2 linked regions of the Sus scrofa genome follow. The protein of the gene in region 2 interacts with the protein of the main gene of each other region in a biochemical or structural test. Links are inferred from orthologs where the notes say so. Each region holds a gene or a part of one and is shown on either strand. Other genes may lie near its edges.

Region 1 (4,550 bases), on a different chromosome or scaffold from region 2:
TGAAGATCCGGCGTTGCTGTGAGATGTGACGTAGGTCGCAGACAGGAGTCGGATCTGGCATTGAAGTGACTGTGACCTACGCTGGCAGCTGTAGCTCCGATAGGAGGAGGGGGAGAAGGAGGAGGGGAGGGGAGGGGAGGGGAGGGGGAGGGAAGAAACTGGGGACAAATGAGGCTTGGTCCTGCTGGGATCATCCATGCAGTGATGCAGAGCGTACTTCTGAACTGTTCACTCAAGGAAAAGAAGGGAGCAGCAGCCACTTTGGGGCAGGTGCAACTTGGCAGCAACTCCTCACTTGTTTTTCACCTTCCACTTCTATGACTTCTCTGGGAGGCACGGGACTCTCGCGGGAACCTCTGTACTAACACTTATTTACACATGCACAACCTAAAAATACAAGGCAGTTACCACCCCAGGGACAACCCCTGACCAATGGGGGACAGGAAACTGGGGAAAAACGCTCCTCTCTCCTAAAAGAGAAATAGACAGAATGTAGGTTTGGGCATAAAGGGTATCTGTCACAATTGTCATTATTTTTTCCTGAGATGTATGGTAGCATTCACTGGTGAAGATATCTGGGTGTTTTTCCTGTGGAAAAGTTTTAATTACAAATTTATTTAAAAGATATAGGACTATTCAGATTTTCTGTTTCTCCTCATGTAAATTTTAGGTTGTATTTTTCTAGGTATTCATTTAACCTAATTTGACATATTCTGGCATACAGTAATTTCAACTGTTTTCTTTTTTTAATTTTTTTCTTTTCTTTTTAGGGCCACACACTCGCAGCACATGGAAGTTCCCAGGCTAGGGGTCAATCAGAGATACAGCTGCCAGCCTATGCCGCAGCCACAGCAACGCAGGATCCTAGCCACCTACATTAGAACTCACCGCAAGGTTGCCTCCTTAACCCACTGAGCGACGTCAGGGATCCAACCTGCAACCTCATGGTTACTAGTTGGATTCGTTTCCGCTGCACCACAATGAGAAAACTGCCAAACTGTTTTCCTTTTTAACTGAAGTATAACATATACATTTACAGAAAAGTACACAGATTATAAATTTACAGCTTGATGAATTTTCACAAACTACACATATTCATGTAACCCACCACCAAGATCAAGAAACAGACCACTACTAGATCTAGATGGAAGTCAGGTGTCCTAGGATTAACTCTAAAGCCTATAAAACCTATAAAATAAGAATAAATTACAAAATGTGAACAGATGAGTACTACATATTTTTCTCTTAAAGGTTTTTTTCCCCCTCAAGAATCTAGTTTATTTTGGCTCTCTGAAACACTGATTTCCCTCAAGAGTCATTTAGAAAACTCATAGTCAAAACATAGATAAATAAAGTTTTTGCTGGAAGACTATAAATGCAAAATAAGACAGGAAATCCCAAAGCAACCTGAGACATTGCCTTGACTTGACTGGAAAGAAGATCCAGGCGATTAGTGACTAATGTTTCCTGCTTCCTCGGTGTGTGCATCTGAAGAAGCCTCCCTGCAAGCAACCGCAGAGACCACTGTGGTCAACCAGCGTGCTGTCCCCAGCAGTGTAAAACTGCGAATCATTTCAACTACAGCCGCTGGCCGGTGCTCCTACGAAACCTGAGCGCCTCCAGGCCACGCCCTCGGTTTCCTGGGTTACTAGCCTCCAAGCACCTCCCAAGGTCTGTTCCGGGAGGCGGTGATCTTACGTTCTCGACGCGTGACTCAGCACGCTTTGGTATAAATACGTGCTGCCGGAAGACGCTTTCTCTCTTACCGCGTGGCCGGCCTCCAACATGGCGCCGGTGAGTGAACGTGATCTCGCCGGGAATTCTTACTTTGATGTAGATGTGTGTTTCAGGTGGCGAGTTGGGGGAGGCTAGTTCTAGATAAAGAGTGGTTAGAATTGGAGACTTGGGTCAGGAACACAACCAAGATTAAGGTTGTAAGTTTTTTCCTGACTCTTGACAACTGCTACGCGGCGAGGGCCCGGTATTGGCTTAGGATGGGTCGTGGTGGGAGCGCAGGAAAAGCGGAGGCACGACGGTGAAGGGGGCTAATAGAACAGCATTTGGGCTTTGTTTTTTCTCCCTGGTGCATGGTAAGGCAGTTGCTACTCTTTACAGTGGAAAGCAGATGTGGGTAATCGAGCGGGTCTTATAGCCTTACGAGGGCGGAGGGAGATAGGCGTCTCTCATTTCCCAGGATAGCCGCGGTTGTAGAGGTTTCAGAGAACTTTAGAACTAAGTTGGGGGAAAAGTTTGTTAACCTCACAAAGGAATTTTTTTAAAACGTGAAAGTCAACGACTCGGGCAAATATAAATGTTTGCTTCAAAGGTTTTATTGACCAGGGGACCAGTAAGGTCTTAAAGCTGGTCCAAAGAGCGTTTGAAGTGTTAGGGTAAAATTGCTGGGTTATATACAAAACTAGATAATGTGCAAAGGGGCCATAAGCCCTCTGGGCATATTTGTTCCACCGACAAATTATTTGCATTTCTGAAGTTAACTGATGGCCCAGCAGAGCTGTAAATTGCTCGGTCAAGCCCAGCTCCTGGGAATCGCTATTAACTGTTCGAAAGTTTAGGATGAATTTTTTTGGCACAAGTCTAAGGTAAAAAATAGCAGTTTAAGTGGCATTTTTTGGTGGGTGGATTTTAATGTGTAACTTTATTCTGTGGTATTGTTCGAAAAGTTTAGAGTATGGTAAACAAAGTACTTTTTCTTTTTTTTTTTTAAGACCACCAGACTGGTATCCTTTTCCTCACCCATAACAGCATTAAGGTTTAATTCCTTAGAATAAAATATCCTATTCTTGCATGAAGCTTAAGTTTTTCACGAAACTTTTCTTGATAACTTGAAACAATGTGAACCTGGTTAGAGGTCCAAACCAACGCAGATAGGTATTTATTAGTTTTGACTTGTAATAGAAAATAGATGCTTTTAGTCTCTTCCAATTGCAAAATAGGATTCTTTAGGAATCTTCTGATGAAGGAAACTGAAAGTATACTTTTTTTTTTTTTTTTTTTTTGTCTTTTTGCTGTATCTTGGGCCGCTCCCGCGGCATATGGAGGTTCCCAGGCTAGGGGTTGAATCGGAGCTGTAGCCACCGGCCTACGCCAGAGCCACAGCAACGCGGGATCCGAGCCACGTCTGCAACCTACACCACAGCTCACGGCAACGCCGGATCGTTAACCCACTGAGCAAGGGCAGGGACTGAACCCGCAACCTCATGGTTCCTAGTCGGATTCGTTAACCACTGCGCCACCACGGGAACTCCCTGAAAGTATACTTTGAGCTTTCTTGAGTATTATTGCACTTGTAAGACACTTGAATGATGAATAAGTGAAATTTCCATTGGACTTCATGTAACTTAGTTTTAACCAAATTAATGAGTGTACTCCATAGTGTGGCTTTGTATGTCCAATAGATGTTAAGCAATTTTTTAGAATTTTGCACCATTTCATATATATAGCCTCACAGTACATTGTACATCACTGAGCTGGTATAGATTTTTGGCTTTGAATAAAGTGAATAAATGGTTGTAGAGAGCCATAATTATATTGCCTTTGTAGAAGAAAGACAAGAAGCCTAAGAAGTCAACCTGGAAGTTTAATTTGGACCTGACTCATCCAGTAGAAGATGGAATTTTTGATGCTCGAAATTTTGTAAGTATCACTCTACCCAGGTGTTTTTTTTTTTTTTTTTTAAGTCATTGTAGTAGAATTCTTAATGAATTGAATATGTAATATTTGATTTTAACCTATGCTGTGTTCCTAGGGTGCCTTCCCTAGTGAATACCTAGGGTTTTCTTCCCTAGTGTGGCATTTTTTCTATTTTAAAATAGGAACAGTTTCTACGGGAGAAGGTTAAAGTGAATGGAAAAACTGGGAATCTTGGGAATGTTGTTCACATTGAACACTTCAAGAATAAAATCATGGTTGTTTCTGAGAAACAGTTCTCTAAAAGGTTGGTATTTGTTTTCCATGGTATATATTTTTTTAACAACATGGGGTGTTTTAATATTAGAATATGTTTGGAGTTCGTGTTGTGGCTCAGTGGAAACAATCTGACTAGCATCCACATCCACACAGGTTCGATCCCTGGCCTCTGCTCAGTGGGTTAAGGATCCATTGTTGCCATGAACTGTGGTGTAGGTCGCAGACACAGCTTGGATCTGGCGTTGCTTGGATCTGCCAGCAGCTATAGCTCTTGATTCGACCACCCCTAGCCTGGGAACCTCCATATGCTGTAGGTGTGGCCCTAAAAGACAAGAAAAAAATATATATATATGAGTATGTTTGAAGAAACATGTCCGTTGTTGAGCGTGGCAGTCATGTCCCAACTTAGTTCTGGTTGTCTGGTAGAGGCAGTCAATCAAAGGTCAAGTCTCTAATGTTAGTTTTGCTGTCAGTTTACCTGACAAATATGTAATACATAGCACTGTTACAGGACTGAGTAGCCTAGCAGTGAACCAAGAGAACTAAGTACCCACTACCAGGCAGCTTAAATTCTAGTGGAGAAGAGAGAGAATGGAATGCAATATTAAATTATTGATAAATGC
Region 2 (4,423 bases):
GTGGGAATTTGGAAAGTTCCCCAACTAGGATCACACGTGACCTCCCCCTGAAAGTAGTTCCGACTGTGGCCCGTATATCCCTCCACCTCTTTTTGAACCCTCCTCGGTCTCCTCGGCTCCGCCCACTCGCCGGGGCTGCAGCTTCCTACCGTCGCGTACTTCACTCTCCGGCCCAGCAACCCGAGTCTCCGCCCGGGTGGTGGAGCGCGGAACCGGGCCCCGGGGCGATCCAGCCAGCCAGGTTTTCACAGCGGCCCAAAAGGGGGCGGGGCGAGGAGTCTTTGGCTCAGTTCGACGCGGTGAACCCTACTGGAACCCCGAGGGGAGAGATGCTCTCTGCTCTCCAGGGGGCTGGGGTGCATCCCAGCGTCGGGTATCAGCTTTCATTTCACCTGGACATTTGTCCTTTGGGATCTAGAAATTCAGGGGCGATGTGTTCATATTCAGCACGCTCTGCTGGACCTTTCAATTTTAGGGCAAATGAACCAGGTTGCCGGGGAAGCGGGAGGTGGGGCGATGCAAGGGAGCCGGATGAGGTGATACACACTAGAGACACAATAGGGGATTCTTTGTATTAAGACTGACACCTTGAGGACACGGGTGGGGGTGGGGGATAGGTGGATTTTTTGGCAGAGGCTGCTGCAGTCAAATCCCTGCGAACGATTGTGATCCGACAGCGGTGCAAAAGGACGGGGGGTTGCAGGCCGTGCCAGGGAAATCTGGGGGCAAGGGGAGAGGTGTCCTCGCTGTAGGGACCATCCTTGCGCTTCCCGGTACACTACCAGCGCAGTCACCTGGTCTTTCCCACCTGTGCACAGGTAACCTCAGACTCGCGTCAGTGACACTGCTCAAAGAACCTGCCTCAGCCTTCACCTTAACCCCCCTGTCTCGCTCGCAACAGCCTATTCTGCCTCGGGTTGCGTTGCTGGGCACAGGCTATGGTTCAGCTCGTCCCCCCACCCTGCGTTGCTGCAGAAGCAGCCGCAGCAAGTGCAGCTTCAGGAGGGGGCCTCGGAACAAGCCCGAGCGAGCCCCGGGCAGTCATACTGGGCATGCTCAGTGGCGCCAGCAGGTTGGGGACTCGGCGCTCGCACCAGAGCTGCCGCTTCTGCCCCCTCCCTAAAACCCCAGCCCTGCCCTGCGCGTCTCTCCCCTGGCGCGGTCCGGCCCGCCTCCCGCCTCCCGCCTCCCCTCGGGCTCCCAGGCGCCCCTGCCCCTAGCGCGGCGGCGGAGGGGGCGGGCAGGCTGGCGGGCGGTGATGTGGCGGGACTCTTTGTGCACTGCGGCAGGATACCCGTTCGGAGCCGGGACGCGGCTGCGCTCAGTTCTCTCCTCTCGGAAGCTGCAGCCATGATGGAAGTTTGAGAGTTGGGCCGCTGTGAGGCGAGACCGGGCTCAGGCGAAGGAGATGAGAGACGGCGGCGGCCGCGGCCCAGAGCCCCTCTCAACGCCTGTGAGCAGCCGCGGGGGCAGCGCCCTCGGGGAGCCGGCCGGCCGGCGGCGGCGGCAGCGGCGGCGTTTCTCGCCTCCTCTTCGTCCTCTTTTCTAACCGTGCAGCCTCTTCCTCGGCTTCTTCTGAAAGGGACGGTGGAAGCCGTGGGCTCGGGCGGGAGCCGGCTGAGGAGCGGCGGCGGCACCTCCCGCTCCTGGAGCGGGGGGGAGAAGCGGCGGCGGCGGCGGCGGCGGCGGCTGCAGCTCCGGGGAGGGGGTCGGAGTCGCCTGTCATCATTTCCAGGGCTGGGAACGCCGGAGAGTTGGTCTCTCCCCTCTTACTGCCTCCAACACGGCGGCGGCGGCGGCGGCACATCCAGGGACCCGGGCCGGTTTTAAACCTCCCCTCCGCCGCCGCCGCACCCCCCCTGGCCCGGGCTCCAGAGGCCGCCGGAGGAGGCAGCCTTTCCGAGGATTATTCGTCTTCTCCCCATTCCGCTGCCGCCGCTGCCAGATCTCTGGCTGCTGAGGAGAAGCAGGCCCAGTCGCTGCAACCATCCAGCAGCCGCCGCAGCAGCCATTACCCGGCTGCGGTCCAGAGCCAAGCGGCAGCAGAGCGAGGGGCATCAGCTACCGCCAAGTCCAGAGCCATTTCCATCCTGCAGAAGAAGCCCCGCCACCAGCAGCTTCTGCCATCTCTCTCCTCCTTTTTCTTCAGCCACAGACTCCCAGACATGACAGCCATCATCAAAGAGATCGTTAGCAGAAACAAAAGGAGATATCAAGAGGATGGATTCGACTTAGACTTGACCTGTATCCATTTCTGTGGCTGCTGCTCCTCTTTGCTTTTCTGTCACTCGCTCTTATAACGTGGGAGTAGACGGATGCGAAAAATGTCCATAGTTTGGGTGACTATAACATTTAACCCTAATCAGATTTCTAGATCATGTATATTTTGTGCTGCTTTTGAATGCATTCAGCCTAGGGTGTGTTCATCTAGACAGAACTCTTGCTTGGTTGCAAGTGTCAAGGCGCCCATGGGTTTCTTAGTCTGTCTACGGGGTCTCTTCCTAAGGGCTATTGTCCGTTAATACAGAATACAGTACAGTGTTAGTGGATTAGTGAGCTCGGTAATCCGGTCTATTAAATGAACAGAAAAGTAGATGCTTTGAGGTTGAGCATATTTCGATTAAATCTTGGCTTTAGGCCCTAGATCAAGGGTATAGATCAGATTAAAATGAAAATTAGTGTTGCACGTACGCATATTGCATCAGAATCTTGCAGTGATTGTTTTGAGTTTCCTGGGTTGCATTGATAGATTCTTTTAAAATGTGAGTTGTGAACTGATTTGCATAACTTTAGAGAGAATCATTTTAGCATATATGGTGCTCATTTGAAGGCAAAAGTAGGTTTGTGTGTTAAAACAAAGTTAATTACAACTTTGAACTGCATGTGGAAGTTTTGTAGCTTGAAATCAATAGTGCCGTGGTATATCTCATAAATCGTTCTTATTAGATCTTTGTTAAATTTGCTCCCCTCCCCCCATTGGGGTGATATGGGATAGGATATGAAATTTGCAATTCAGTAGCATTTTATATTCAGTGCTCTTGTGACAAGTAGTAGAATGGAGATTGAGTGGTTTTTGATCCCAGATGATAAGGTTGTATAGGTTGAAGGGTATAGTGTGTAGCAAATGGTGATTGCAGAGATTAAACTTCAGTTTCACTTGAAATTTAAGTATTATTGTGATGCCAGAATTGCTGCTCACCTTATTTAGGTATCATGTCCTCTGACACCTTTGGGTATCCGTTAATCTTACTCTGACTTGTGTAGAATGTCAAGTACAATTTATCAGCTAATAATCAGACTGGCAAGAGTGGATTACTCCAGCTTCAGATTGTAGGTGTGTTCCGCTTTTTCCATACGGTGTCTTAAATTTACTGAGTCAGCTTGTTGAATAAGATAGAAACCCAAGAATTTCAATAGTGTATAGTATTGGTTGTCTAACAGGCCCTTGTACTTCAAAAGATGCTGGTTATCAAAAGGCATTAATCTTTGCAGTTTCAGGTATAATAAGCTGGCTTTGATCAAGGATGGGAATGGAGCCCTTTTTTGCAGAATGAAAAGTATCAGAAATTGAGAGTTACGAAAGGCCAGTGTATAGACATGAGACAGGATTAAGTTACTGGTCTGAGGTGACTGAAGCATTTTTTTAAGCCTCTATTAAGATAAGAAATTTGGTGGTATGAATTTTACTAGTTGACAATATTTAGTTAAAACTATGTAGTTTTATAAGTGTTAATATTCTTTAATAAAAGTGGTTTCTTAGCAACTGTCAGTAAACATCTCTCCTAAAGGTAAAGTGAGACTAAAGTGTTTATATATGTACAGCTAAAAATTGTGGGGGAGTTTTTTTGAATCAAACGTTGTATATCTGGAGAGATTTTATTCCTTCGGGTTATGTATGTGCACATAGTGTGCACAGCTAATTTACTCGAAGTATTTGTTTTGAAATGAAGATAAAATTACTGAAGAAATAGCTTTACCACGCACACAAGGTAACCGTTTTCTGTTAAGTTAAAAAAGAATGTTTAAAAAGAATATTTGGAAATTTTAAAGTTGCATTAATTGAAAACTTTACTGAGACTGAACTTGACCCGCTTACCCAGAAGTTAATTACGGAAAAACTCTTCTGATTTGTAACTTACTTCAAAAATAGTCTACTGTTGGCGTAAACTGACAGTCATCTGAATATATAGGAACACATTAATTAACTGTTTAACTTTTTAAAATAAGCCTCCATTCAAAAAATTTTCCAGAATGCTGTTTATTAGATTGTTTTTAATATTCACAGTATGTTTATGCTACTTTTGCTATACCCATTTGATTTAAACGTATCAGAGTTATAAGACTAACATTTTCCTACCAGATTCTTATATATGAGCAGTAAGTTGATTGGCCATTTCTCCTCTGATTTCAGAAAATGTGTGCC

Evidence for each region.
Region 1: the proteins of PTEN (region 2) and RPL22L1 form a complex in vitro, tested with the Homo sapiens proteins (2 studies listed by BioGRID). The link is inferred for Sus scrofa from reciprocal best matches to the Homo sapiens genes PTEN and RPL22L1.

What each region holds. Positions count from the first base shown.
Region 1 is NC_010455.5:109,496,600-109,501,149, reverse strand, and holds the start of RPL22L1 (60S ribosomal protein L22-like 1), read left to right. Parts: upstream 1-1,654; 5' UTR 1,655-1,785; coding exon 1,786-1,794; intron 1,795-3,561; coding exon 3,562-3,654; intron 3,655-3,833; coding exon 3,834-3,955; intron 3,956-4,550.
Region 2 is NC_010456.5:99,928,129-99,932,551, forward strand, and holds the start of PTEN (phosphatidylinositol 3,4,5-trisphosphate 3-phosphatase and dual-specificity protein phosphatase PTEN), read left to right. Parts: upstream 1-1,461; 5' UTR 1,462-2,165; coding exon 2,166-2,244; intron 2,245-4,423. UniProt on the Homo sapiens protein: Dual-specificity protein phosphatase, dephosphorylating tyrosine-, serine- and threonine-phosphorylated proteins.